Callithrix jacchus: one gene and its partners. The protein of the gene in region 3 interacts with the protein of the main gene of each other region in a pairwise test. Links are inferred from orthologs where the notes say so. Each region holds a gene or a part of one and is shown on either strand. Other genes may lie near its edges.

Evidence for each region. The genes of interacting proteins can lie anywhere in the genome.
Region 1: the proteins of ATXN1 (region 3) and TENT5B interact in binary tests that used the Homo sapiens proteins (3 or more experiments, as listed by UniProt). The link is inferred for Callithrix jacchus from reciprocal best matches to the Homo sapiens genes ATXN1 and TENT5B.
Region 2: the proteins of ATXN1 (region 3) and HIVEP1 interact in binary tests that used the Homo sapiens proteins (3 or more experiments, as listed by UniProt). The link is inferred for Callithrix jacchus from reciprocal best matches to the Homo sapiens genes ATXN1 and HIVEP1.
Region 4: the proteins of ATXN1 (region 3) and USP54 interact in binary tests that used the Homo sapiens proteins (3 or more experiments, as listed by UniProt). The link is inferred for Callithrix jacchus from reciprocal best matches to the Homo sapiens genes ATXN1 and USP54.
Region 5: the proteins of ATXN1 (region 3) and ZSCAN1 interact in binary tests that used the Homo sapiens proteins (3 or more experiments, as listed by UniProt). The link is inferred for Callithrix jacchus from reciprocal best matches to the Homo sapiens genes ATXN1 and ZSCAN1.

Annotation. Positions count from the first base shown.
Region 1 is NC_133508.1:63,658,851-63,664,762, reverse strand, and holds the start of TENT5B (terminal nucleotidyltransferase 5B), read left to right. Parts: upstream 1-2,247; 5' UTR 2,248-2,422; coding exon 2,423-2,686; intron 2,687-5,912. UniProt on the Homo sapiens protein: Catalyzes the transfer of one adenosine molecule from an ATP to an mRNA poly(A) tail bearing a 3'-OH terminal group in an ATP hydrolysis-dependent manner.
Region 2 is NC_133505.1:18,641,042-18,646,949, forward strand, and holds the start of HIVEP1 (zinc finger protein 40), read right to left. Parts: upstream 3,666-5,908; 5' UTR 3,577-3,665; exon of another isoform or gene 3,475-3,576; 5' UTR 3,211-3,474; intron 126-3,210; exon of another isoform or gene 2-125; intron 1-1.
Region 3 is NC_133505.1:14,368,744-14,374,124, reverse strand, and holds part of ATXN1 (ataxin-1), read right to left. Parts: intron 3,511-5,381; coding exon 2,980-3,510; 3' UTR 1-2,979. UniProt on the Homo sapiens protein: Chromatin-binding factor that repress Notch signaling in the absence of Notch intracellular domain by acting as a CBF1 corepressor. Binds to the HEY promoter and might assist, along with NCOR2, RBPJ-mediated repression. Binds RNA in vitro.
Region 4 is NC_133513.1:56,504,508-56,510,477, reverse strand, and holds the start of USP54 (ubiquitin carboxyl-terminal hydrolase 54), read right to left. Parts: upstream 3,666-5,970; 5' UTR 3,604-3,665; intron 1-3,603.
Region 5 is NC_133523.1:50,725,548-50,731,573, reverse strand, and holds the start of ZSCAN1 (zinc finger and SCAN domain-containing protein 1), read right to left. Parts: upstream 3,666-6,026; 5' UTR 3,599-3,665; intron 2,586-3,598; exon of another isoform or gene 2,205-2,585; 5' UTR 2,123-2,204; intron 1,908-2,122; 5' UTR 1,866-1,907; exon of another isoform or gene 1,715-1,865; intron 425-1,714; 5' UTR 315-424; coding exon 1-314. UniProt on the Homo sapiens protein: May be involved in transcriptional regulation.

The sequences.
Region 1 (5,912 bases), on a different chromosome or scaffold from region 3:
TGGAGTTGGGGGAAAATAAATAAATAAAAGTAACAACAGGTCGGGCATGGTAGTTCACACCTGTATCCCTTATCACTGCACTTCGTTTTTCGTTTTTTGTTTTTTTTTGAGACGGAGTCTTGCTCTTTTTGCCCAGACTGGAGTGCAGTGGCACCATCCTGGCTCACCACAACCTCCGCCTCCCAAGTTCAAGTGATTCTCCTGCCTCAGCCTCCCAAGTAGTTGGAATTATAGGCATGTGCCATCACACCTGGCTAAATTTTTGTATTTTTAGTAGAGACAGGGTTTCTCCATGTTGGTCAGGCTGGTCTCAAACTCCTGACATCAGATGATCCATCCACCTCGGCCTCCGAAAGTACTGGGATTATAGGCATAAGCCACCACACTGGGCCTTATCCCTGCACTTTGGGAGGCTGAAGCCAGCAGATCACTTGAGCCCAGGAGTTCAAGACCAGCCTGGGCAACATGGCCAGACCCTTATCTCTACAAAAAAATTGTTTTAATTAGCTGGGTGTTGTGGCATGTGCCCGTAGTCCCAGGGACTTAGGAGGCTGAGATTCGGAGGACTGCTTGAGCCGGAGTGGTTGAGGCTGCAGTGAGCCACGATTATGCCAGTGAATTCCAGTCTGGGCAACAGAGTGAGACCCTGTCTCAAAAAACAAACAAACAAAAAAAAAAAAAAACAAAGAAAACAGGCTGGGTGCAGTGGCTCACGCTGTAATCCCAGCACTTTGGGATTACACCGCACCTCAAAAACAAAAAACAAAACAAAACAAAAAAACAAAGACAGAATAAAACAAACAAATAAAAAAACAAAATTAGCCGGGCATGGTGGTACATGCCTGTAATTCCAGCTACTCAGGAGGCTGAGGCAGGAGAATAGCTTGAACCCAGAGGTTGCAGTGAGCTGGGATCATGCCATTGCACTCCAGCCTGGTCAACAAGAGTGAAACTCCATCTCAAAAAACAGGTTGGGTGCGGTGGCTCACGTGGGAGGCCAAGGCGGGCAGATCACAATGTCAGGAGTTTGAGACCAGCCTGGCCAACATGGTGAAACTCTGTCTCTACTAAAATTACAAAAATTAGCTGAGTATGGTGGTGGGTGCCTATAGTCACAGCTACTGAGGAGGCTGAGGCAGGAGAATAGCTTGGACCTGCAGAGAAACATGTAAATATATTATTCATTCTCTAGTCCCAGAAAGGTCTGTGTAGGTGCAGTGGAAAAAGCATCAGCCACAAATTCCATAGCACTGGTTCAGGACCAGGAACTAACTAGTTTGCTCTGTGACAGTGGGGTAATCACACACCCTCTCTGAGCAGATCTCCCCTTCTCTAAATTTGCTATGCTGTACATCAACACTCATCATACTCTGGTTTGCAAAGGCTAATCAACAGAGTGCTTTAGAAAGCCTTTACCTTAGGGCCAGGTGCCGTGGCTCACGCCTGTAATCCCAGCATTTTGGGAGGCCAAGGCAAGTGGATCACAAGGTCAGCAATTTGAGACCAGCTTGGCCAATATGGTGAAAAGCCTTCGCTTCTAAAAATGCAAAAAAGTTAACTGGGCATGGTGTCACTTGCCTACTCTGGAGGCTGAGGCAGGAGAATAGCTTAAACCCAGGAGGCGGAGGTTGCAGTGAGCCAAGATCGCGCCACTGCACTTCAGCCTGGGCGACAGAGTGTGACTCCGTCTCAAAAAAAGACAAAAAGAAAGCCTTTACCATGGTATGCACAGAGTTTATTATTATACCTTTTCTAGGCTCTGAAAAACTGCCAGATCATGAGCAGTGCTGTGCGGAGTTGATCACGTGGCGCAATCTCTTTGGGCTTCTGAAAATAGCAGATGACCAGGACAAAGGCCCGGTGACTTCTCAATTTCTTTCAGCGCTAAAACACAAAAAACAGAAACTTGGAATTTCTCAGTGGCTTGACTACAAACTCCGCAGGTTACCTCCCTCCCTCCTGCCCCTAAGGGGCGCTGTCCCTTTAAATCCAGACACGGGCCAATCACAGTGAACAGAAGTTCTTTAAGGACCAAAGGAGGGAATTCAGTTTGAGGAGGGCGGGGCAGGGGCGTGCCCTCCAGCCAATCGGAATCTCTCTGGAGAACAGTGACTCACGTGCAAAGCTCTGCCGACCAATGTCCTGAGCGTCGAGAGGCGGGGCGGCTCCTGATGTGTGGCAGCGGCCGGGACCAATGGGCACGTCGCCCGCGGCCTATAAGAGTCCGCTGGGCTCCCGGCTGCAGGCGCTAGGGTCGGTCAGTCGTCGCCGTCCGAGGTGTGCCTTGGCTTTGTCTCGCCGTCGCTGCCGCCTCGTACCTGCCTCCGTGCCCCCCGCCTTGGCTCCTGCCCAGCCGCTCTTCCTGTCCTCTCCCCTTAACCACCCCCACGGTTTCTGCCGTCGGGGCCCGGGGTCCGGGCAGATGATGCCGTCGGAGAGCGGAGCTGAGCGCGGGGATGGGGCAGCTGTGCAGGTGGGGATGGCTGCGGCCACGGCGGTGGCCACGGTAGCCCCGGTAGGCGGCGGCCCCGACCCGGAGGCCTTCTCGGCCTCCCCCGGACGGCACCTGAGCGGGCTGAGCTGGCCACAGGTGAAGCGACTGGACGCTCTCCTAAGCGAGCCGATTCCCATCCACGGGCGCGGCAATTTCCCCACGCTGAGCGTGCAGCCGCGGCAGATCGTGCAGGTGAGAGGACGCTGGGCGGGGGATATGGTGGAATCCCTTCTGAGGCTCTCGAGGCTGGAAGGCATTTGGAGTCTGTTTGACTCTCTAGACAGCTAGAGAAACTGAGGAACGTGGACAGGGTTGTAACAATTACATAGCATTATGAATCGCAGACCAGACCTACCCCTGCATCTACTAATCCTTCCCCATCTGGCTTTTCCATCTCGACTCCTGGAGAACTCTGATTCCCCACGGACCACTCACCCAGGCCCTGGCTGGGGGAGGGGAGAAGGATGTCGAGGGCATTGGGGAAGAATTTGTCTCTGCCTGCAAGGACAAAAGATGCCAGGCGGCCCTGGGTGGGTGAGTGTGAATGCTTGAGTTCAAAATAGATTTTCCTTCCCTATCTGGGCATCCCTGGACCTCAGCCTCCTTTCCTCTCGAGGTTCTAGGAGTAGACTCTAGGCCTTATGTTCCTACAGCCCTTTGCTGGAGAAACCTGCCCTTCCCCCTGGGCCCTGTGGAAAAGCCAGGAAAACTTGTCAGGGACTCCCTCACTCGGCTGCGGTTGTGGCCCAAGATTTATTAAGCTGAAGGTCAGACCTGATACCCCACCCCCAACAGCAACATTAAATGACCAATTTAGGTGCTGCTGCTTCTTCCCAAGATTGGAAATGAAGGCCGACCCAGGCCTCAGGCCCCACGTCCCATCTCTCCTGAGGAACGGGAGAAGAGAATTCTGACGGCCCCTCCCTCCTCCTTGGTACTCCAAATCTTCCCTTTATCTGAACCTCAACGACCCCAAGACTGCTTTTTCATCTGTACAGCCCAGACGATGTCATGTTCTGAAATACCATTTTATAGCTGGGGCAGTGAGCCACCCAAGATTACTTAATGAGGTGAAAATCAAACCCAGGGAATCTTGGGTCTTCCCAGGAGCAGATTATGGTAGGTTCAATGTTTTCCAACCCCTACCCCTGCTCCCAAGGTCAACTTCTAGGTCTTAGGAAGGCTCCTCTGATAAAAGAAACCAGGAAACTCAGAGAGGACTCCTGTGGATTCCTGCCAGGTGATAGCTTTCTTCCTGAGGAGGCAGACTCACCGGCTGGATGAAGCAGGCCTTTCCCTTGCCTCCTACCACCTTAGCTTCCTGCAGAGGGGGAGGGGTGCCTGCTGGCAGATTACCTCCCTCACCCTCCGGAGGAACTAGGAACAGGATGGGGTGAGGGCAGATTATCCTGGGCTGACTCATGGGGCCGAAGCATTCCTCGGCTGCTCTGCTCAAGGAACTAGTCACCTGGGGAAACCAGTCAAGGCTTTACTCCCCAGGACTGTCAAGTCAATCCTGGGGCCCCAGCTGCTGCACCTCCATGACTTTGGCCCCAGGCATGGCGGGGGGTGGGAGGTGGAGCCCAGTGTGGCAGCCTCCCTCTGCAAGAACAGGGGGTACCTGGAGGGAGGAGAACTCCTTGCCCTGTCAGTATGGTTTAAACTGCCCCTATTGGTGTCTGCTCTGTGCCAAGCCCTGTTTAGGAAGCCAAGGGCACAGATTTGACTGGGACTCGGCCTCCACCCCTTCAGGTGCTCCTAGCCAGATGGGGAATACTCCAGGTCAATAGGAGCTAACCTTACAATTTGATGGTGGTACCATGTCCTTCCAGACCCGGGTCAGAGAGAGCACAGAACCGGGAGCTGTTGGCAGCAGTGAGGAAGGGTGGCAGAGACTTCAGAGCTGGGCTGGGAAGTTGGACTTGGATTCAGGGCCTGGGCTGTTTGTTGTCAGTTCTGTTTGCTGGGCTCAGTGTCCCTGTCTGTTCAGTTGGGACTAGGCTGCTGCTTTCCAACACCCTCTAGTTCCTGACTCCAAAGGGGACAGGTGCTTTCACCTGGTCTGCACAGCTGCCTCCACAGGAAAGAAAGTTTCTTGGAATAAATCCACAACCTTGAAGCTGGCAACCTTGAAAGCTGTTGGGATGTGTGCAGGGATGGGGGCAGGGGAGAGGGGGAGCGTGGTGCCGGCTGTTGCCTCATGGCTTTTCACCACTGCTGAGTTGTCCTATGGCTCAAAAATTGGAACCTATCTCCATCTCCACCCCTACAAGGCTTTGCCTGGAGTGACAACCTGAGCAGCTAGATGCTGTTCTTGCTTGTATCTGTGCTAAAGGGACCCGCCCTACTGTAAGGAGGCTTCCCAAAACTACAGGCAAGGAGGCCTTTTATTAGCTGTGTAACCTTGGACAAGTCCTTTGCTTCTCTGGGCCCAGAGGATTGAACTGAACAATCTGATCTCTCCAGTTGCAGCCAGAGGGCCTGCATCAGGCTGCGCTGCAAGTGAGTTTTGTGAGCCTGCTGGCTGACAGCGTCTGTCAGCCTCCCCGCAGGTCTCAGCAGCAGCCTGGAGCAGAGTGGGGAGGGTCTTGGCATGGGAGAAAGGAGGGTGCAGCCATTGCCCCCTCCATGGCTGGAAAGTCTGATTCAGGAGGCACCAAGCTGCCCTGCAGTACTTGGGTGTGGTGGTAACTGGGGACCGCCTGCCAAACTGGCAGTAGTCACACCTGGGAAGGAGACAGCAGTGACTGGCTGGCTGACACAGCTGGCCCCATGGCCCTGACGCAGGGGATTTAACAAGAGTACTCCTGCCTACTCACTAGGCCAGGTGCCATGCCCTGGGGTGGGCACCGGCCTGGGAGCAGGAGCTGGCACCAAGTAAGCCTCAGTCAGCCCTAATGGGATTTGAGGAAGTGGCTGGTCTTCTCTGCAGGCTTGGCAGTCCTTGGACCAAGGTCTTTGGCCCATGCAGGCACAGCTGCCAGCTGACAGGGTGTGGGTTAGAAGTTCCACAGGCTGGACTGCAGCAACTGGCCCTGTCTGGCCAAGGCATTTCCCAACCCCCACCTTCCTGTTCCCCAACTACTCTGGCTCTGGGCTTCAGTGACTTGAGGATTGCCTTCAAAATTTGGAAAGAGAAGGAGGAGTCTATGCTCCTTCCAAACCCTGGGACTGTAATGTGGTACATTCAGGATAGGCTTTGAAGTCAGCCATACACGGGTTTGAAGGCATCTCTGCATGATCTTGTGCAGGTGACATAACTCCTGCGAGCTTCAGTTTCCCAGAAGATCATAAAGACCTGTCCCGAGCCGGGCACAGTGGCTCATGCCTATAATGCCAGCACTTTGGGAGGCTGAGGCAGGAAAAGAGTTTGAGTCCAGGCGTTGGGACCAGTCTGGGTAAAGTAGCAAGATCCCAT
Region 2 (5,908 bases), about 4.3 Mb from region 3:
CCTCTCCCCCAGGGCAGAGTAGGGCACGTTTAGCGTCTTTGGGGCCGGCGGTAGGAACGCGGGCCGGGCGGCGCGGGGGAGGCAGGGCGAAGGTCGTAGGCTTTCCCGCGGGTGGGCGGGGCGGCAGGGGATCCCCGGGGGCGGGAGGCGGGGAGGCCGCGGGGGGCGGGGTAGCGGCGACGCGCGGGCGGAGGAGGGGGCGTCCCCGCGGGGAACGGGGTTGACACCGGGGTGAGGGGTGGGGGACGCCCGGGCGCCAGGGCCCGGCTGGGCCGGCGCGGCCGCCAGCTCTGTCGGGGGCAGGGCCAGGTTGGGCGCCCGGCCCGGCGCGAACGCGGAGCCAAAGCCCCGGGTCTCCCCGGCGGGGCGGGCCCTAGGCCGCGCCGGCCCCGCCACCCACCCGCCGCTCCGCCCCGCCCCGCCCGGCCAAGCCGCCGCAGGGACAGGAGGGTGCAAGGGAGGAGGCGGCGGCGCGGCCCAGGGGGGGAGGGGCGGGGTTAGGGACGCGTGGGGCGGGAGCCCAGGGTCGCGCAGCCAGGGGAACTCGCACCCGGCGGGGGCGGAGAGGCGGCCCCAGCCGGTCACGCGGCCCAGGGAAGGCCTGGCCGGGTCGCGCAGTTGGAGGCGGTTGATCCGGGAACAGGGGCGGGGCGGGCGGGGCCGTAGTTTCTCTTTACCGTCTCTTTACTTTCTACAGCAGGATGTGGGCCGGCCGCTGACGTCATGGGGTCTCCCGGTCCCGCCCCTCGGCCGGGCAGAATGGGGGAGGGGCACGGGAGGCACAGGGGCGGGCGGGGGGGGGACCCCAAGGGGGTTTCCTCAGCAACGCGTAGAAGGAAGGGGAAAGTCATTGTGAAACTTGACACTCATTAACTTTGAAAAACAACTTTTAAAAAAACCAGAGGGGGGAGGGGTGTTGGTTTGGAGAGTGGAAGGGGACAGAATATTAACCCTGAACTGAAACCACTTTTTGGTGGCGGATGTTCTATTAAAAGAGCGAGGAAAGCCAAGGTTATTCCAGAGGCCGCTCCAAAGCCTCGCTGGTGCTTTCCAGTGCCGAAGCTGCGAGCGCAATTAACCCCTGCCTGCCAGCCCTACAGCTTAGGGCCGCCCCGGGAGGGGACTTCGGGGACTGAACATGGGGATGCGGGGCTGGGCGTCGGACCGGGCTCCAGGGACGCTGGGGAGGGAGTGAAAGGGGAAGAGGGAGTAATTAGCATGAACCAGAGTGTGACCCCGGCTGCTAGAAAGCAGTAGAGGAAGCAAGGAGTGGAAATCCACGGCAAAGCAGTGAAGAGGGTATGGACCAGGGCAACGTAGGTTTCAAGGTTAGACTTAAAGAACGTACGCAGTTTGGGGCACAGAAATTCCACCCGTGCACCTCAAGAAGCAGGCAGGAGTGGCTGGTTTAATGGGCCACCTCGAACTTGGGAGGAATAAGGTGAAACCAAAAATTTGATGCAAAAGAAAAAAAATCCCTGATGAAACTAAACTGTTTTCCCCTTTTAAGGAATAAAAATGCCAAACGACCATACACCCACTAAGACAGCTGGCCATCTGTGCAAACTTGAATTGTTTTGTTCCCTTGGGCTTCCATAACGACGTCTAGGTTTTTCCTGCTAGAGCTGACCCCTAAAATTCCCCTGAGGAAATCCTACCTCTAGCTCATTTGAGCTAAGAAAAGCTCAGAGCACCAGAATGGGAATGATTAAAAATGGAATACTCGGTAATGGCAAGTTTGTAGCCAAAAATAATATCTAAAGGGGGAAATATGCCTACTATAATTTGGTTATAAAAGCAAAGATCATCCAACTGTGTACATGTAAAAGAATGTCTAGCGTACTAATGCTAACCCTACAATGAAATAGTGCAATTTCTATTTTCAATGTGATATAACCATCTCTCTTTTTTGAAATGAAATGATATCACCAAAAAAAGTATATAATGTAACTTCCCAACTAGGTTATTTGAATCAAAAAATAAACATGCGTTTAACTGTGAACGTATAGCTATGGATCTGTCAGGAGAAAGGTAATTTGATAATGAGTGGAGTTTGTATCACTTCCGAAGTGAAAAATGCTAACTGAATGAATTACATTTAACCCAATTGTTATTGGGCATACCATACTGTCAACACAGTGTTTATGTAGGATTCAGCATTACTACGAATTTTCTCACAAGACATACATGCAATTTTGAATCATAATAGGTAAATTTTTGACATTTCAACTATTTCCTTGAGCAGCAAACCGATATTAAACTTTTATTTGAAATATATACAATACAGAATAGTTTCCTGGTAAGTCTTTGAATTTTCTAAATGCAGTTTCTTTTCCTAACTCTGTCTACAATTCTTCCTAGATATCCGGATGCAAGGAAATCTGGCTAGGCTATAAAGTATCTTCTTTAGGCTTAATTTTTTTTGTGGCAAATCCATTATATTTTCTCAAAATGTATCAGATAAAGAGCGTGGGAAAAAATGAAGCAGAGGGTGAATATGAATGGCAAACTGCATTTTCAACTGTCAAAAATCTTGGGACAATGCGGGAGCGAGTGATCATTCTCTGACCCCCAAAAAAGAGGGGGCTCCTAGGGGACCATTTCTCTAGGAATCCATCTCTACCGTCCGCGTGAACGCTTCTGGAGCCCCTCCTGGGGGAGAGTGCGGTTCAAGGGAGGACAGTGTCACTGAAAAGATCTACACACGTTTTTCTTACCAAACAGTTTGGAGAGGGCACAAGTCCACCCCGGAGCCGCGTCCACTGGGCCCCGCGCCACCCTGCCCGCCCCCGCCGCCGCGTACCCGGCTCCAGTTCCCACGCGGCCGCCCGCCCCAGCCCGGATCCGGCTCCCCCCTGGCGCGGCCCCGGGGCCCCGGCCCTCCGCCCAGAGCGCGGCCCAGCAGCGCCGCAGCCACCGCCACCGCCACGCGGAGATCCCGGAGGTTCCTCCCCGCCGGCCGCCGGGTCACGCCGCCCGTCCCTCCCCTCGGTCCTCCGCCCTCCGCCCTCCACCCTCCACCCTCCACCCTCCACCCTCGGCGCGCTCCGGGCTTTCCCGTCCACCGGCCGAATCCCCTCCTCCTCGGGCGACAAAACCTTCTGGGCGACCCGGCGACAAAACCTTCTCCGCACACCCTGCCAACTCTGCCCCACGCCCAGGCTCTTCCCAAGTCAGGCGCCAGACAAAAGAACCCGGAGAAAAACTTACCCGAACTGCACCGCAAAAGTCTGATGCAAAGCTTCCTGGGTTTAACTTTTAATTTTAAAAACAACAAAAGCAGAAACCAAAAGCCTCCTAGGTTGGAAGTGGGCGTGAGAGGAAATGCTAGAGGGAGGCGCTTCATTCCCCGGGCTGCCGGTGCCCCCCTTTCTGGCCCCTGCCGGGGGCTTTGATGTTATCTAGTGCACCGCCTCCATCGCTTTCTACCTTGGGCTCGGCGCCGAGAAGATACACTGATCTTCCGCACTCCACCTGCAGGTTCCGAGAAAGGCGAGAAGGTAACCGCGGCTAAGGACCCACACTCCTTAGCCCCGCAGCGAGAGAGGAGCATTTGCACGGGCTTCCTGTTGCTACCTGGGCTGAAATGAACAATCCACCCCTCCAGTGATCCTGGAGACTTGCGCCATGTGGTCTTTCCTGCTAGACGCACAGAGGGAGGCCTCGTACTTTAGATTCGTTTTCCTCCACCCGAGCACAAACTTGTAAGATGGTGGTGGAGTATGTTTCCTGCGGTTTTGTTCGGGTTTTAGATCTCAGTTTGGAAGATAAATATTATTTTCCTTCTGAGACAGTCCTGCAACCTTGAAAAGACAAGAATAAATCTCTAAAGGCAACACATTCTATAACATGCTTTACATTCATCATAAATTCCCTTACGGGTCAGAGTATCCGCACACCCTCCCCATTACATTATGGAAAGCGTGTAACTTGATTTTCTCTTGCTTGGACACTAGCAGATACTGAATATAGTTTGTCATTAGGTTAGCAGTCTCGGGACCATCACTAACAAAGTACTACAAAGGATTTTTTTTTTAACAGATTGGTAGTAAAGGATGGCGCTGTCTAGCAATCAGCCTTACCTGTGACTACACTTTACACCAACAGAATCCTGCGTTCAGGCCTTGCCCTCTGGGAGATTACAAATTAATGGAGACAGGATAAACACAAGGAAAAATACCTAGAGGGAAAAAAGATATAAGAGGCTTATAAACAGAGCCAATTAAAGTTATACAGTTATTTACATGATCGCAGAGAAGCTTCTGCTTGAGTAGAGGACAGGGTGAGCAGAGTTCCATCCTGAGCGTGAGTTCTCAGTGGGATATTGAAGGAGAGAAAGTTCACAATTTGGCAGTGGTGTATGAACAGCATTACAGAGGAGGGAAATCTCTTGAAGGTGAGAGCAAGTGAACTGTGTGTGATGGTTTTTCCACCTAGAGCAGAAAGTCTCAGCAAATGAGATACAAGTAACACCCACACCAGGACACTTTCAAGAGTGAAAGGGAGAGTATTAATAATTATACTCGGATGAGAGATGTACACCTGGATTGCCCCGGGCCAATGGGAAGGGTGGGTTCTCTAGTAATGAGCTAGGACGACAGAATGGGCAGACAACAGGCAACCAGCAAAGAGCCTACTCAGTCATCATTTGGAAGGAATTAAGCCATGATATTACGAACAGTTGGTAGCCATTTGGAGACATCTGGCCTGAGAATGGTCTTTTTAAGGAAAGTGATTGTTACTGATGGATTTAGGGTCCATACGGAGGCTGGTTAGCAGTAGTAGTAATGGTAGTGGTCGTGACGAACAGTTATTGAGAGCTTACGACTTGCCAGGTTTTTCTGTATGAACTTATTTAATCCCCACCATAAACCCACACTGTAGATGAAGAAACAGAGGCTTAGAAATGCTGCATCGTTTCCTGCAAGCCACAAAGCTGGTAAATGATAAAGCCCTGATGGGGGAATCCAGAAAATAGTCAGATGCTCAAAGTTTAAAGATTATATGTTGTGAAAACCAGATTACGATAACTTCCTAATATTCTACATCGATGGAGCGAATAAGAAAAGGGAATTTTTATGCATTAGTTTGCTAGAGATGAAAAAAAGGGAATTTTTTAAAGTTTTTCAAGTTTTGATGTGTCATGAAAATGATAGGCATGCTGGCATGGTGTGAGGCTTAAGGGAAAGAAGAGAAAATGTGTTTAATTTCAACCATGTCTAGTTTTTAGAAGGATAATTTAATTCACATTTATTCCAGTACTTACACTGCTACCTGTAGGAGACACGCTATTAGAGGAAGCCTCGTCTCATTGAAAAGACTCTCGTTCAATGGCAAGTAATGACAGTTTAATGGGTATTATTTGGTGTACTAGTCTGCAAAGAGGGGAAAGAAAACTAGATGTGATTGGTGCTTGCAGTTCCTGAAAGAATTCCTTATAAACTATGTCCACAGCAGCATACTGAGTAACCCTAGAGAAAGAACAGCATTCAATGAAAATGACCCAACCTTATCTGTGATCTAACAAGGTGGTATTTTTGTTGCAGTAGACCCTGAGCTAATACAGTGTCTCACAGTTCTAGAGACTGGAAGTTCAAGATCAAGGCATCAACAGGGTTGGCTTCCTCTGAGGCCTCTCTTCTTGGCTCGTAGACTGTCACCTTCTTTCTGTGTCCTCACATGGCCTTTCTTAGGTATACTGCATGCACAGAGAGAGGGAGGAAGAAAGAGAGAGAGGGAGAGAGAACATGCATGCACTGGCTCTTTGGTGTCTGTACTTTTGACACTAATCCCGTTAGATCAGGACCCCACCCTTATTACTTAATTTAACCTTAATTACCTCCTAAAGACTCTATCTCCAGATACAGTCACATTGGGGGTTAGGGCTTCAACATATGAATTGCAGTAC
Region 3 (5,381 bases):
ACTCCACATTCACTATTCCATGTGGTGACAGGTCTCCTTGGCTGGCTTTTTCTGCAACGCGGCAGCAGACGCACGGGGCTCCTGAAGGCTGCCCGCCCCAGCACTCAGCATCTGCAGCAAGGGAAAGGTGGGAGGCGCTCTCCCTGCTGGCTCCTTCCCTCCAGCCCTGCTCTGGCCAGAATGGGGAAGATCAACCAAACAAGGAAGAAGCGGAAAGGGAATAAGCTTTAACTATAGAGCACACTGGTCAGACTCTATTGGCACAGAAAGTATTGCACATGCTAAAAAAGCAAGAGAATGAATGGGACAAGTGCTTAGAAAGAACCAATTATTTTTATAATTCCTATACCTGAAATAGAACCACAAAAATGATGATGTTCCTATTGCTGCAAACCACGTGTGTTTTCGCATCTTAGTGTTAGTTTAGTGGATCCAGTCAGTTCTGTACTCGAAGTAAGCCAAAAGGTGGTGTGTGTTTCTCTGAGTCCACATGAGTTGTCAATAGTGATACTAACGAGAACAAAGTCTGTGTGGCAGCCCGTATTCCTCTTACCATCAAAGGTTAAAAAACAAAAAGAAAAAAAAACCTAATAATTGCAAGTGCCCTGAGCAGAATATATGGAAGATTAAGCAAGTTCTCTGAACAGAAACGTTTAAAAAATACAGCACTAACTAAGCAGTCTGACCGCAAGAATGAGCCCACCCACCTCTCTGCAAGCATGCTGAGAGGGTAATGAAGTTCCAGGAAAGTCAAGGAACTATTCTAGCTATTCTAAACCTATTCAGATGTTTTTGGTACACCCCAGAAAATGGTTTACAAAAATCATTAGTCCTGCTGAGTGCTAAATGTAAATGAATACTAGATAGCCAAAATGTGGGCTGATGATGTCAGATTTTTGTTTTTTAATTTGTGAAATGAAGGAAATACTATTTTCAAGGGGGTAAAAGAAAAATCGAGTATGGATTTGTTCAGGTTCGCTGCAGCCCTCGAAGTAAGAATATTTAAACATTTCTCCCTACTTATAAAACGTTTTTTTAAAGCACTTTAAAGATGCACTCAAAACCCACAAATGATATTTCAGATCTCTGGGAATGAAAGGTTTAAACTATGAAATACCCTTTCTGGGTTTGTACCAAACATTAAATCTTGATTTGATTTTGAATAGAAAAAAAAGTCATTCTGAAAATAACACTAATAAAGCAATTGTTTTAAAAAAAATCTTGCTCACATATATAAATGTTTTTATGGAAAACTCAACAAATCTGAAGAAAATTCTCAGAGTTTCTAAGAGCCCACTAAGACCTGGGTTTTTGTGACAGATGTGGTAAAAAGACCAAAATGAATTTTCAAAGGAACATAACCTTATAAAATGGCCTAGAGTTTAGGCAGGTTAGAAAGAAATTTTGCTACATTTATTTATGCTCGTTCAGTCCCCCAAACCTTTCCCACAATGTTATTGGATAAAAACTGCAGGAATATCACACAAATTACAAACTCAAGATGTGCAAATTGCAAGGTTCTTTAAAAGTTCATCTTAAAAACACTGGACAAAAATGAGTATTCTCTTCTCCATCCCTTTCCTCAGTTCCTCTGCCCACTCTGCATATGCCTGTAACTGTTTCTCAGACATCAAAGTGAAAGTGCCTCCTGTCAGGTAGTACTTGGTCATTTATTGTCACACACGAGTTCATAATTCACATTCATCCCTTGAAACCACATTGAAACTTTCAATATCTTGCTCTTCAGCAATTCTGCAGAGCTGAAATGTAGTTACAGTGTTGAAAAAAAAGAAAGCAACTTAGTTTTTTTTTTTTTTCCTCTTCCCAAAGAGTTTAAAATGAGATACAGTACTTGTTGAATGAGAGACCAAGATGCTTGGTAATAAAGTGTGAACGGTATTTTTAAATGCTTAAAGATAGTAATATATGCTCATCTTCAAAATCTAATTCCTCATGTCACACTGGAATCTGAAAAAAAAAAAGTGGCACCCGAGTTGTCCATAGTCATGAACTATAAACAGTACTAGAATTAAAAGACAGATTTTGCAAACTCATTGAGAAGAGCTTCCGTTGCTGTCACGGAAGGGCAGTTTGCATCTACCTCTTGGGAGTGAAGTCAAGGCAGTAACCTGATAGGTCTTCCTAACACTGCACAGGAACCAGCGTGGGTGTTCACTCTCTCCCCGCCCCACCCCCAAACCCCCTTACCCCACGTGGAGCCATGACAGCAGGGGCTTCCCTGTCCACGACACCCTGGTGACATCACTGCACTAGTAAAGCAGAAATGAAATCCCGCATGTGGCAGTTGCTCTTTAAAAAAAAAAAAAAAGATATCAGTGCAGTCAGGCCCCATAGGGGGAAATATATATCTATACAATTAAAAGTTGCTTTTACTGTAAAATGTTGGAGAGAAAAATGTTCTTTTAAATGGTTAGCTTTCCAAATCTGCCATCTGACGCGTCTCTGCGATGCCCTGAAGCTGGGTTCCTGCTGTTGATCGTGTACATGGGAACCCCAGGAGGACCCTGCTCTGAATCCCCAGTCCCATGCTGATAACAAGAGAGGGAGGCAGAGAAAAAGAGACCCTCACTGGCCACCACAGTGCCTCTGCACCCCCACATGCATGCACCCCTGCAACTCTGCAGGACCCTTCCCACGGAACTTTCCCCTGAAACTAGCAGGAGTCAGCGCCCCGGGCTGCTTCTGTGCTGCTAGAGAAGGCGGGTGCCCCTGAAGCCCCACTCCTTTCTTCCCAGGGGATGCCTGGAGCCCCCTTCCTCCCGCCTGCTCACTGACACTCGTGGAAAAAGCATATGCACCAGTCTCCTGCGACACACCTGCTGTAACTCTAATGACAAGGTTAGAACAGAAACCTAAAATAAGAGGAAAACATGTAAATACTGTGTTATTTAGCCTACAGTACAGTAATCTGGATACAAATGATAAGGGAGAGCCACGTTTCCTTTCCCCACGCTGCCTCTACTTGCCTACATTAGACCGGCCTTCAATGCAAATCTTAACCTCCTGAGGAATTAGAGAAGGCTTAGGAAGAGTCAAAGGTGGTTCATCTTCTGACTTCTCCAGTTTGCGGCTCTCCGGCGCCGACCACCTCCTCTTCCTCGTGGCCGGAGGCTTGCTGGGTTCTATTTTGGTGAGGAAGGGTGCTGCGGGCAATCCCATTTTCTCTGGAAACTTCAGTTCGCCATTCTCAGACAGCATCTGGGCACTCCCCTGGTGGATTCCGTTTTCCTGCTCAGCATACCTGTGTCTGCTGCCCGCCAGGCCGTCGGCCTTTGAGTGCTTCAGCAGGACGCTGGCGGGATCCACGGGCTGGCCCTTTTTAACAGAGCCGTTCTTCAGGTTCTTGAGGGTCAGCGAGATGCAGACATCCCCAACTGAGAGTTTGGAACACGGCAAATCAAAGAGCTGGCTGGTTCTCTCCGGACAGCAGGAAGACCAGCCCTGTCCAAACACAAAAAAAGGATACTCTACCAAAACTTCAACGCTGACCTGCGGAAACAGGGAGAGACAGAGAGAGGAAGGAGGAAGGGAACAAATGAAAACGTTTTTTCTTTGATTTAAGCACACGTATGAACTCACACACACACACACACACAGATACATACACAGACACATACACAGGCACACACAGGTACACAGACACGCACATACAGAGACCGATACACAGGCAAACACAGGCACACACAGATACATACACACAGACACACGGGCACAGACAGACATACACAGGCACACAGACACACATACATACAGATATACAGACACAGGCATACACAAAGGCATACACAGATACATATAGACACAGACACAGATAAACAGGCACACAGACACGCACATACAGACACAGGCACACACACATACAGACATACACAGGCACATACACAGGCATACACACACACAGACACACAGGCACATACACAGGCATACAGACATGCACATACAGAGAGATACACAGACACGCACACAGATACATACACAGACATACAGAGACAGACACAGGCATACACAGACACACACACACAGATACATACATAAAGGCATAGACATACACAGGCACATGGACATGCACAGACATACAGAGACAGGTACACAGGCACACACACAGATACATACAGGCACATACAGACATACACAGGCACACATACAGAAAGATACACAGACACACACAGATACATACACACACATACACAGGCACACAGACACGCACAGACATACAGAGACAGGCATACACAGATACAGACAGATACACAGGCACACAGACACGCACATACAGACATACAGAGATAGACACACAGGGATACACACACAGATACACAGACATACACAGGCACACAGACACACAGACACACAGGCATACACAGACACACATATATACACAGGCACATACACAGGCATACACAGACACGCACACATACATACACAGGCACAGAGACACGCACAGACATACAGAGACAGATACACAGACATGCAGGCATACACAGACACAGGCACACACACAGATACACAGGCACATACACAGACATACACAGGTGCACACACAGGCATGCACACAGGCACTCACACACAGATACACACATACACAGGCACATGCACACAGATACACAGGCCGACACACAGACACACACAGGCTGAATGGGGAAAAAATGACTCAGTTTGCAAACCTCCCTCTCCCCCAGCAACACACTATAAATGAGGCTTTTCACTTTTGGGTGTACCTGTACTTACCATAGGCAGAAACCAGTGAAATGGCCATCGGTATTTAAAATATTCCACCAAGTGTTAGCTCTATAGCTGATCTCTGTTAGAATCAGTCACTTGAACCCCAGCAATGACAGAGCACCACTTAGCTTTTAGCACCGAGCTGGGCTCTGTGGGCCTCAGAAGCCCAGCATGGTTTTAGATTTTATGAGCTCAATGGACAACTATTATCATACAGGACAGGACTAAACACGGATCAGAGTGAGACTGTAGGTGATTTCGAGGAGGCAGGCATGATGTTTACCACTGAGTCCCCAGCCCCTAAAAGGATGCTTGGTGACTGGCCGCAGTGGCTCACGTCTGTAATCCCAGCACTTTGGGAGGCCGAGGTGGGTAGATCACTTGAGGTCAGGAGTTCAAGACCAGCCTGGCCAACATGGTGAAACCATCTCCACTAAAAATAATTAGCTGGGCCTGGTGTTGGGCACCTGTAATTCCAGACACTTGGGAGGCTGAGACACAAGAATCACGTGAACCCAGGAGGCAGAGGTTGCAGTGGGCCAAGATTGTGCCACTGCACTCCAGCCTGGGCAACAGAGCAAGACTCCTTCTCAAAAAGCAAACAACAACAAAAGGATGCAGCATGTGGTTGGAGCTTAATA
Region 4 (5,970 bases), on a different chromosome or scaffold from region 3:
TTCTAAAAAAGACAATTAGGACCAGCTCACGCCTATAATCCCAGCACTTTGGGAGGCTGAGGTGGGAGGATCGCTTGAGCCCAGGAGCTTGAGATCAGCATGGGCAACATAGAGATCCTGTCTCTAGAAAAAGTACAAAAATTAGCTAAGCACCTATAGTCACAGCTCCTGGAGCAGGTGAAAAGCAAGATGATTGCTTAAACCTAGGAGACTGAGGATGCTGTGAGCCGTGATTATGCCATTGCACTCCAGCCTGTGCGACAGAGAACTTGTTTAAAAAAAAAAAAAGGACTTAAATTTTGAACTGACTGGTGAATTTTCTTCTCAAACTTTCATTCTTTTATCTCTTCTGAGAAACGTACTGTGTGTTTCATTAATGCAGCACAATTTAGAGTTTGCTTAATACTTTGTAACTGGGAAAATTATTAGGCTGGGCACAGTGGCTCAAGCCTGTAATCAAAGCACTTTGGGAAGCCAAGCTGCCAAGGCAAGAAGATTGATGAGTAACTAGCCAGACCACCCTAGGCAACATAGCAAGACCTCGTCTCTACAAAGAAGTTTCAAAAATTAGCTGGGCGTTGTTGCATGTACTTGTGGTCCTATCTACTCAAGTGGCTGAGGTGGGAGGACAGTTTGGGTCCAGGAGGTTGAGATGGCAGTGAGCTGTGATGACACCACTGCAAACCAGCCTGGGCAACAGAGCAAAACCCTGTCTCAAAAAAAAAAAAAAAGAAATATTCTTCAGGAGGCTGAGGCAGGAGAATCACTTGAACCTGGGAGGTGGAGGTTGCAGTGAGCCGAGATTGCGCCACTACACTCCAGCCTCAGCAACAGAGCAAGACTCCATCTCAAAAAAAAGAAAAGAAAATTCTTACTTTGGGAGGCTGAGGTGGGAGTATCACTTGAGCCCAGGAATTTGAGACCAGCCTGGCAACATAGCAAAACTCCATCTCTAAAAATAAATCAGCTGGGCATGGTGGCCCTCACCTGTAGCCCCAGCTCTATTCAGGAGACAGAGGTATGAGGATGGCTGGAGCCCATGAGGTTGAAGTTGCAGTGAGCCATGATCTTGTTGCTGCACTCCAGCCTAAGTAACACAGTGAGACACTGTTGCAAAAAAAAAAAAAAAAAAAAAAAAAAGAGACAATTTGTTGTCTTGTCAACAACTATATAAATTCTTCAGGGCCAGAACTTTGTCTCATACTTTCATGTTCACATATTGTGCTGATCACATTGTATGTATTTTTTTTCTCTATCAGTCTGCCCTCATAGGGTCTGAGCGATTCCAAGGCAAGTTCTACCTGTACTTGTATCCTGAAGGCTTAGTAATCAGACACAAAATAGGTCTCAATAAATTTTTCTTTTTGAGACGGGGGTCTTGCTCTGTAACCCAGGCTGGAATGAAGTGGCAGGATCTCAGCTTACTGCAACCTCCATCTCCCAGGTTCAAGTAATTCTCCTGCCTCAGCCTCCCAAGTAGCTGGGGACTACAGGCACCCTCCACCACAGCCAGTTAATTTTATATTTTATTAGAGACGGGGTTTCACCATGTTGTCCAGATTTGTCTCGAACTTCTGACCCCAGGTGATCCACCCGCCTCAGCCTCCCAAAGTGCTGGGATTACAGGCATGAGCCACCTCACTCAGCCAAGTCTCAGTAAATAGTAAGTGGATAAATGAATTAATCTTTTTTCCCTGCAGTGCCTTACACAGTACTTTACACATAACAGGAATGCAGTAAAGCTTGTTATTTGATTCATGCAGAAATCTTTTGGGCCCAATCACCACACAAAACTTTGTGTTGCCTCAGAAAAACACTTCTACTTTAAAGTTTAGCTGCTGACATTACAAATTAGGTTTTACTCTAACATGTATGAAATAAATGGGTTCAGTGACTAACCACATCAAAACCAGCTCAAATTCAGAAGAACTTTAAAAGTCTTTTTTGACACAGAGTTTCGCTCCTGTTGCCCAGGCTGGAGTGCAGAGGCACAATCTTGGCTCACTTCAACCTTCACCTCCTGGATTCAAGTGATTCTCCTGCTTTAGCCTTCGTAATAGCAGGCATTGCAGGTGCAATCACGCCCGGCTGATTTTGTATTTTTTTAGTAGAGACGGTGTTTCATTGTTTTGGCCAGGCTGGTCTCGAACTCCTGCCCTCAAGCAATCCGCTTGCCTTGGCCTCCCAAAGTGCTGGGATTACAGGCATGAGCCACCGTGCCCAGCCAAAAAGCCATTATTCTAATTAATGTATTTGTGAACCTCGACATGAAAAAATCCAGTTATATAATCGAGAGGTTATCCTTTCAAATTTATACCTACAAAAAATAGAAAAATGATCAGAAAGCTTGTATCTGTTGATTGAAATAACCCAGCAAAGTGGTCCACATCTGTTTCCAGAAAACAGTCCTTAAGACTCAAAGACTAGATGTTTTCCCCTCTCACTGATTTTAACTCCTGAGAGACACCTTTTATTTCAACATTGAGACATTCAAAACATGTTGTCTCCCAAAATAAAATTTCATTCATTTCTTAAAAGGCAAATAACTTGATAGGCACACTTTAGGAACAAATAGGTTTTACATTCAAATAACTAACACTAACCCTAGATTTAGTGTTCAGCTTGCTGCTGCAATTAAAAAAAAAAAAAAAGTGGTTTTTAAGTTATATTTGTGGAAGGTTTAAGTGTCGTATTTCATATTTTTTCACCATATAACCTAAATTGATTTTTACCTTGCATATATTTCATAAGTACACCGTAAAGGAATTATACAGTTGAATGAGTCTGGGAAGAAACATCATCTTAGCACACACCCCCTTCTTCCAACTCAGTAAGCTTCAGGGGAAGCAACCTTTTTTTTTTTTTTTTTTTTTTTTTTCTTAAGAATCGCTCTCTCCCCACCCTGCGCTTTATTTTAGAGCAGCAATCGAACCACTCGTAGTTTCTCAGCCAAAAGGACCTTCCCAACTAATACTAGTTCACCAGGACTCTCCTTTTGCATCTCGGAGTGTCCGTGGGGTATTTCTCCGGAAAGAGGGAAAGGAGGCGGTGACGGTCTGGGACGCCACCATTCCCGCCACGCCATTCAGGACCCAGGTCCTGGCGCGCGGTCCCCGACCAGCCTCAGGCAGAGTCCCGGGATCTGTAAAGGTCTGATCCCTCTCCTCCCTCCACTCCCCTAACCAGTGAAAAGCAAACTGGGCCCAACCAAACTGTGCTCTCATTCAACATACCCTCCTCCTCGCTGTACCCCAATTCTTCCCACTTCTTTCCCAGTGTAGCCTGGCCTCTTTATCCAGTTCCGAGTCTCCGTAAACACCCTGCTCCCAATACACACACCCCTCCACGCTCCAGCCCGCGCCCCTTGAACCCCACTACACCCGGGTCCCTCCCCCTGGACCTCCCAGCAGGTCTTGCCCTCCCCGCGTGCCCCAGACCAGACCGGCGCCGCGTCCCTGTACCCACAGGACCCAGGTCTTTCCCCACACGTCACACTCAGGTCCATTCCTCCCGCGACCCAACCTTCCCCACACCCCCTCCCCAGGCGCTACCCCCTGCACCCCGTTACCCCCGGCCCCGCCCCCCTGAGGATGTCGCACTCACCGCTCCTGCCGCCGCATACTTAACCGCCGCGGCTGCTATAGCTACAGGGAGCCAAGGCAACCAGCTCTCGCGACACTTTCCTTGGCTACAGCGAGAGCCGACGAGAAGAGACTCTCGCAAGAAAGCAAATGAGTTAGGCTGGAAATTGCGAAGTGTATCTCGCGATAGCACTGTTTAAAATGGCGTCATCAAGGCGTTTCATGGGTGGCCGGGAAAGGGATGGAGGTGGGGCGCGGGCGAGGATGAAGCTTAAGCTGGCCGGGAGCTGGAAGACGATTGCAGGCGGAACCGTCCGTTGGGGCTGAGGAAACTTAGCGTGGCGGATCCTACGCTGGGATAACTTTAGGGATATGGCCTTCTTTTCCCAATTGCTTCAAACTTAGAGCAGCGTCGCCTGTAGCTGAAGGTTCGTTTCCCAGCATTTTCCTTCTGCAGGCAGAGTAGTTGGAGACAGAGAGGGCAAGCCAGAAATTGACCTTCCCATCTCATTCCCTTCCATCAAGAACTTTTCATCCGTTTTTTACCCACCGTGGTTTGTGCAATGTATTTGGCGTCATAGAAACGTTTGTCCACGGGTACCTTGCCTCATCAGTTCGCCCCACCAATATAGGAAGTTACTAAAAAAAAAAAAAAAAATTGTGTTTGACCTTGAATGCAGAAGGGAACCGCGTTGGTGTGTGATTTGAACTTTGCACTTGCTTCCTGCCCTGTGGCCACGTCCCCCTTACTTGGTGATTCTCATCACTTAGTTGTAGGGCTTTTTCTCTCTGCTCTCAGACAACTATAAAAGCAGCCTAATTAAACAGCATTTACAACAGAAGGTGGATTTAAAGAACTGGTCAGCCGGGCGCTGTGGCTCAGGCCTGTAATTCCAACGCTTCGGGAGGCTGAGGTGAAGACTGAGCACAAACATTCAAAACCAGCCTGGCCAACATAGCCAAACCCCGTCTAAACAAAAAATACAAAAAGGAGAAGGGCGTGGTGGTGTGTGCCTGTAGTCCCAGCAACTCCGGAAGATAAGGTGGGAGAATCCCTTGAGCCCTGGAGGTGAAGGTTGCAGTGAGCTATGATCACACCACTGCCCTTCCTCCCACCTAGGCGACAGAGCAAGACGCTGCCTCAAGAAAGAGAGTCAAAATATCATTTCAACATGTAACCAATCTTAAGTTATTAACGAGATAGTTTACATTCTTTTTTTCGTACTAAGTTTCCAAAATGTGGTGTTTATACTTACAGCACATCTTATTTCGGACTGGGCTCATTTTAAGAGCTCAATAGCCCCATGCAACTAGTGACCACAGTATTGGACAGCACAGACCTAGACTCTAGAGTAGTGAATGAGCACTCCAGATGGCTGGGGGAGTCCTATCCTGGGTGTATGTGGTTTATGTAAAAGAAACCCTTAAAATTGCTAAATCAAATGGCTGTAGAGGCTAGGCAAGTAACAATAAAAGATGACCTGACATAAGGACTAGGACCCACTGGAGAGTACAGACTCCTATCTAAAAGAGCTACTTTTAAAACACAGTGATGCCAAACAAGGTACCTGTGAGCAGGACAGACAGCTAACTGCGGCCAATGTACTGCCTCTGTGAACCACGGTATTTAAATGTATGAAGCAGGCCGGGTGCAGTGGCTCACGCCTGTAATCCCAGCACTTTGGGAGGCCGAGGTGGGTGGATCATGAGGTCAAGAGATCGAGACCATCCTGGTCACCAGGGTGAAATCCCGTCTCTACTAAAAATACAAAAAATTAGCTGGGCATGGTGGCGTGTGCCTGTAATCCCAGCTACTCGGGAGGCTGAGGCAGGAGAATTGCCTGAACCCAGGGGGTGGAGGTTGCAGTGAGCCGAAATCGCGCCATTGCACTCCGGCCTGGGTAACAAGAGCAAAACTCCGTCTCAAAATAAATAAATAAATAAATGTATGAAGCACTGTGGAAGAAAGGGTGGGTTTTTTGTTGTTGTTGTTGTTGTTGTTTTGAGGCAGGGTCCCTGTCCACAGACTGGAGTACAATTCGATCTTGGCTCACTACAACTTCCACCTCTCCCACTCAAGTGATCCTCCCACCTTGCCTCCCAAGTAGCTGGGACTGCAGACACCCACCACTACACCTGGCTAATTCTTGTTGAAGGGTGTTTTAACAGAAGAACAGTAACTAGGCAAAGGGATGGCAAAACTTGAAAATCTGACCAGATTTCTTGCTGGGTCCTGTACAAATGTGTGCCCTTGAAGCCACCATTGTAATTTAGGATTATAATTTGACTTCTAAGTAGAGTTTCCTACTGAGGAGATGATTTTACAACCAACCTGGGCTCCCTGTAGATTAATAAGCTGGTATCATGATTTTTTATTATAGTTAAAATT
Region 5 (6,026 bases), on a different chromosome or scaffold from region 3:
TTTCGGGGGCCCTGTGACTGCACCCAGGTCCGCATCTTGCTGGGCAGCGCGCCCAGGAACTGCTCCAGCACCAGCAGCTCCAGCATCTGTTCCTTCGAGCGCGCCTCGGGCCTCAGCCACTGGCGGCAAAGCGACCAGAGCTGGCCCAGAGCGAGGTGCGGCCCGCCCGCCACATGGTACTGGAACTGTCGGAACCGCAGACGCTGGGCTTCGGTGTCCCTGGGGTTTGCTGGCCCATGGTCCCCGTCCTGCTCACTCGGGGTTGGGGTCTGGGGACGTCTGGGGGAGGCAGGGGCTTTGGGCCGTGGGAGCATTTCTCTGGTCAGAGTGCCCTCTGAAGGGTCTGTGTGGACTGGATCCCAAGAGTCTCAGTGGCTCCAGACAGAGCCGGTGTGGCAGGTGGGCGGAGTCAGCAATCAGGGGCCTGCAGAGAGGGGCAGGGACAGAGGGGCCACATCAGATGGTGGCCCTCCCTGCTCAGGATGCCCCTCAGCTCCTCACTTCCTAGTCCTGGCCTCCAGCACCCCAAGGAACTAACCTGACTTTTTCCCACCTCCTGACCTCCTCTTCCACATGCCTCTCAAAGGCTACTCTGCGCTGAATTCAAGCCACTGGCTGCCTGAGGACCTTTGCACCGGCCATCAAACCCCAGCCCCTCCCCTCCCAGATGTCCCGGCCGTCTTCCACCCCCCCCAGGCCTTTCTGAACACATCTTTTTTCCTTAGAGTCTATCTCCCTCTCATCTAGTCATTCAACACTCATCGACTGACGAGCTGCGGGAGCTCCACTGGCTGCCCCCGTGGAGTAGCCAGCGCTGCGCAACAGAAGCTCCGACAGGGATGCAGACATTCTCCACCCATGCAGCCACCTACACGTGGCTGGGAGCACCTGAAATAAGGAACTGAACTTTAAATTTAAATGGAAGCAGCCAGGTGGGCTACATAATAATGAATGGCGGTGGCGGTGACGGCGGCAGCAGCAGTCTCTGCCCATGGTATCTTTGCTGCCTTCATGCTTTTCCTACCAACTCCAAGCTGGTAGAGGAGGGCAGGAAGAGGGCAAGGGAGACTGGAGACTGAAAAGACACGGAGAGTAGAGGGCAATGAAAAAATACCCTCTTGTGGCCGGGTGCAGTGGCTCACGCACTTTGGAAGGCTGAGTGAGGCAGGTGGATCACCTGAGGTCAGGAGTTCGGGACCAGCTTGGCTGACATGGTGAAACCATGTCTCTACTAGAAATACAAAAATTAGCTGGGCGTGGTGGCACGTGCCTGTAATCCCAGCTACTCGGGAGGCTGAGACAGGAGAATCGCTTGAACCCGGAGGAAGAGGTTGCAGCAAGCAGAGATTCTGTCACTGCACTCCAGCCTGAGCGACAAAGTGAGTCTCTGTCTCAAAAACAAAAACACCTTTTGTACATTTCCAAGCCTACTATGGTGAATATATAACTGAAGAAAACATTAAACGTTATAAAAATAAACGGAGGTTTTGGTTGTTTGTCTTTAACAACTGTACTCTGGGCTGATCTGCTGGTGAGAATAGAAATTGGCATGACCTTTCTGGAAAGCACTATGGACACTTATATATGAAGGACACTTGGGAGATTGCATGCAGGATGCAAGATTCACTATAAAAGTGCCCAGCTGTTGAACGTGGTGGGATCAAGTACCTCCCCCACCATGTGATGGGGGGTGTTCCATGTGCACAACACACACCATGACATGACCACAGGGAGTATACACATGATGTTCAGATGACATGAGGCACAGAGAACACGGGATGCGGGATGATGCATGAGTGTCCTAGAAAGCGGGTGCTGGGCAGAGGCCCACAGGGGGCCAGCCAAGTGCTTTGTGTTCTTCATACTTCTCTGAATGTCCTCCAAATGGTGTCAGGATCCCATGTGACCTTCATCAACATGGAAAAACAAAACAGAACAAGAAATCTTTAGGAAGGATTTGTAACTACAAGGGAAATGCTGATGACAAGTGAAAAGGAGAGATTCCATGGGATTTTCCCTCTTCATCCTCTGCTGCATTCTTCGTACCCTCTACAGGTCTTGTGCATGGGTTTTACAATCCAGGAGAAAGGAGAGGTGCAGGGTGGCAGAAAAGGCAACTCACCAGGCCTGTGCCCCACCAGCAATCTTCGAGTCTCGTACCCGGCCACCTGCACCCTGATTGGGAGACTACAGCTTGGTCTCTCCTGCCGAGACCACAGGCAAATATAGTCTCTTACATTGTATTCACACTTTTATATATGTACTTTTGAATAAGGAAAAAGGGCCTATTTTGAAGCTCCACAGGTCCAAGAAGTCCCTTTGCCCTGGGGCCTCAGTCCTTATACTCTCTCAGGTGCTCATGGCAGCTCACCATGGAGATTCCAGGGAGCGCTGTAGCCCCTCCGCATCTTCCATGGTCCTGGGCTGAGGTCTGTGAGAGGGGAGGCTAAGTTTATCGGGGATGAGGGTAAAGAGGAGTTCTTAGCAGAGGGCACAAGAGTCCGCAGCTGTGTCTGCGGTCTGTATGGGAAAACTCGGGCGTGCCTGAGCTCACGAGGGTCCTGGACTGATGGTGGAGGCCGTTTCTGGAAGATGAAGAGGGCCTGGGATGATGCGGAGGGTCCTGAGGTCTACATAGCTGGTAAGAAGGATCTGGACCCCCCCATGGGCAATGCTGTGGTGGCCCCGGGGTCCTAGAGGTCTACTTCGGTAGGGGTCTGGGATTAGTGTTGGGAATGTGTGAGAGTGTCACTTGGAGGGCTGAGTGCCTGGTGGAAGTGCCTGGTTCACTCGGCAGGAGCACTGCGATCTGCAGCCCAGGCCCCAAATTCTACTAGGGGGATGGGATGGGCGGAAGGGCTTTGCCGTGGATGCCGGATGCTTATTGACATGGTGGACGTGTTCCCTGCGCCAGTCAGTGAATGGCTCTGGCTCTGAGAAGGGGGCTTACAATGCCACACAGGGGAGCTCCATAAGCAATGGGCAGCGCACTAGGAATACGGGGGAGGGGCAGGGACGGAGACTCAGGTTGGGGGTCGGCTGGGGGGATGGGCTGGTTGGGTGGGGGATGGGTCGGGGGAGATGGGTCCAGGGCGGCTGTTCGGGTAGGAGATGGGTTCGCGGCGGCTGGTTGGAAGGGAGATGGGTTCGGGGGCAGCTGGTCAGGAGGGAGACGGGATGGGGGTGGCTGGTCGGGAGGGAGATGGGTCCTGGGATGCAGATCAGGTGCTGAAGGGAGAACTTGAACGCGGCCGAGCGGGGTCTAGGCGGGCAATGGGGGTGCGTAGAGGGGCTTCTGCCGCAAAGTGACAGGCGGATGCCAACGGGGATCGAGGTCCCCGCGGAAGGGGCGGCCCCAGCACCCCAAACCCCCTCCCTGCGTGGGCTGTAGCCTTCCCCTTCCCTCCCCCACAGCGACCTCCCGACTCCCGACGGACTCTGGAACCCCGGCCCGGCCCGCCCCCGCCCCGACCAGCCTCCCCCGACTCGCGCCCCGGGACCGCGATCTCGGGCCAGCTCCCGCCGACGCGGCGCCGCGCCCCTCCGGGAGATGGGCGCTTTGGCGGGTGGAGGAACGGATGGGCCGCGGCGGACTCACCGCGCGCGGGCTCCGCTCCGGCCTGGGCCGCTCAGTGATGGCGACCCCTGGGCTGGCGAGCGCGCCCAGCGCCGCGGGCGGACCCCCTCCCGGCACCCCGCGCGCCGCGGGCGGCCGCCATTGGTCCGCTGGGGCGAGCCGCGCGTTAGCGTCACGTCACGCGTAGCGGGACTCCCGGGCAGGGGCGGGGCTGTGACGCACTAGGCGGCCGTGGCCAATCGGATGCCGCCTGGGATGAGCGCCCCGCCTTCGCCGCGCCCTCCAGTAACCTCCCGCTCCGGCTCGTGTCGCCTTGGCAACTGGTCGCGCGGCTTCGAGGGCGCTTCTGAGGGGAGCCGAGAAGGGGCCGCCTGCGGGGATGCGCAAGTACGAGGCGGCCGCTGAGCAAAACGCAGGCGTTCCACACACGCCATGATCCTTTATTTATGACGGAGTTTCGCTCTTGTTGCCCAGGCTGGAGTGCAATGGCGCCATCTCGGCTCACCGCAGCCTCCGCTTCCCGGGTTCAAGGGATTCTCCTGCCTCAGCCTCCCGAGTAGCTGGGATTACAGGCACGCACCACCATGCCCAGCTAATTTTTTTGTATTTTTAGTAGAGACGGGGTTTCACCATATTGACCAGGATGGTCTCGATCTCTTGACCTCGTGCACCACCCGCCTCGGCCTCCCAAAGTGCTGGGATTACAGGCTTGAGCCACCGCGCCCGGCCGAAACAGTGTTTTTAATGTAAATACGTTTAGTACAAGTATGTCCCAGAATAGGATCGCCAGACTTAGCAAGTAAAAATACAGGACGTCCAGCTAGACTTGAATTAAGGAGAAGAGTGAATTTATTTTTAGTATTACTGTTTCATATTTAGGGTATTTAAAAAGCTTCTGGATATAAATACATGAGTGTAAGTGATTTCCACTGTAATTATGTCCCATAGTATCATAGTAGCATTGCCCGATTTAGTAAGCAAAAAATAAAGCTCAGTTATATGTAAACTCAAGAAAAACAAGGACGCCGGGCGCGGTGGCCCATGCCTGTAATCCCAGCACTTGGGAGGCTGAGGTGGGTGGATCATCTGAGGTTGGGGGTTGTGAGACCAGCCTGGCCAACATGGTGAAACCCCCGTCTCTACTGAAAACACAAAAAGTAGCCAGGCATGGTGGTGCGCCCCAGTAATGCCAAGGCAAGATAATCGCTTACTGGGAAGCAAAGGTTGCACTGAGCCGAGATCATACCACTGCACTCTAGCCTGGGCAACAGAGTGAGACTCTGTCTCTAAATATAAAAATAAAAAGGAATACATTTTTAGTATCAATGTGTTCTATATTTTACATGCTTTAAACAAACATAATGTAAGTACATTGCATGTAAATAATTTTTTCCCAAATGCTCCCTCTTTAGAAGGAGTGATAATTTTTTTTTTTTTTTTTTGAGACGGAGTTTCCGTCTTGTACACAAGCTGGAGTGCAATGGCGCGATCTCGGCTCACGGCAACCTCTGCCTCCTGGGTTCAGGCAGTTCTCCTGCCTCAGCCTCCTGAGTAGCTGGGATTACAGGCACACGCCACCATGCCCAGCTAATTTTTTGTATTTTTAGTAGAGACGGGGTTTCACCATGTTGACCAGGATGGTCTCGATCTCTTGACCTCTTGCTCCACCCGCCTCGGCCTCCCAAAGTGCTTGGATTACAGGCTTCAGCCACTGTGCCTCGCCTATATTTCACATACTTTAAACAGACATTATATAAGTACATTGCATGTAAATAATTTTCCCCAAATGCTCCCTCTTTAGAAGGAGTGATAATTTTTAATATTAATATGTCTACAGTATAACCATGTGCCAGAATGAGGTTGCCATATTTAGCAAATAATATAGAACAATAGTTACATTTGAATGTCAGATAAATGATGAATAATGTTCTAGTGTAAACATGTCCCAGGCCTGGTGGTGGCTCATGCCTGTAATCCTAGCACTTTGAGAGGCCGAGGCAGGACAGGAAGATCACGTGAGCCCAGGAGTTGGAGGCAGTCTGGGCAACATGGAAAGACTCCATCTTGACAAAAAATACAAAAATGACCCTCAGGTGGTGGTGCACATGTGTGGTGCCAGTTAGGAGGCTGAGGTGGGAGGATCACTTGAGACCGAGAAATTGAGGCTGCAGTGAGCCGTGTACACAGTACTGCAGCCTGGGTGACAAAGTGAGACCCTGTCTGAAAAACAAAACAAAAATATGTTTTGTTGTGAACTGAACTCGAGCCCGGGAATCTTGTCCAGCGAGAGGGTCCGAAACCTGGAAGAGAGCGCGCGCCGGAAAAAAGGAGATAAAAAAGGCGAGGTCTGGAGGGCTACATGCGCTATGCTCATGCAGCAATTTTATTTTTGCAATGTGTTTCATTATATACTTTTCTGAAGTTAAAGTTGTTTACACCAGATTAATGT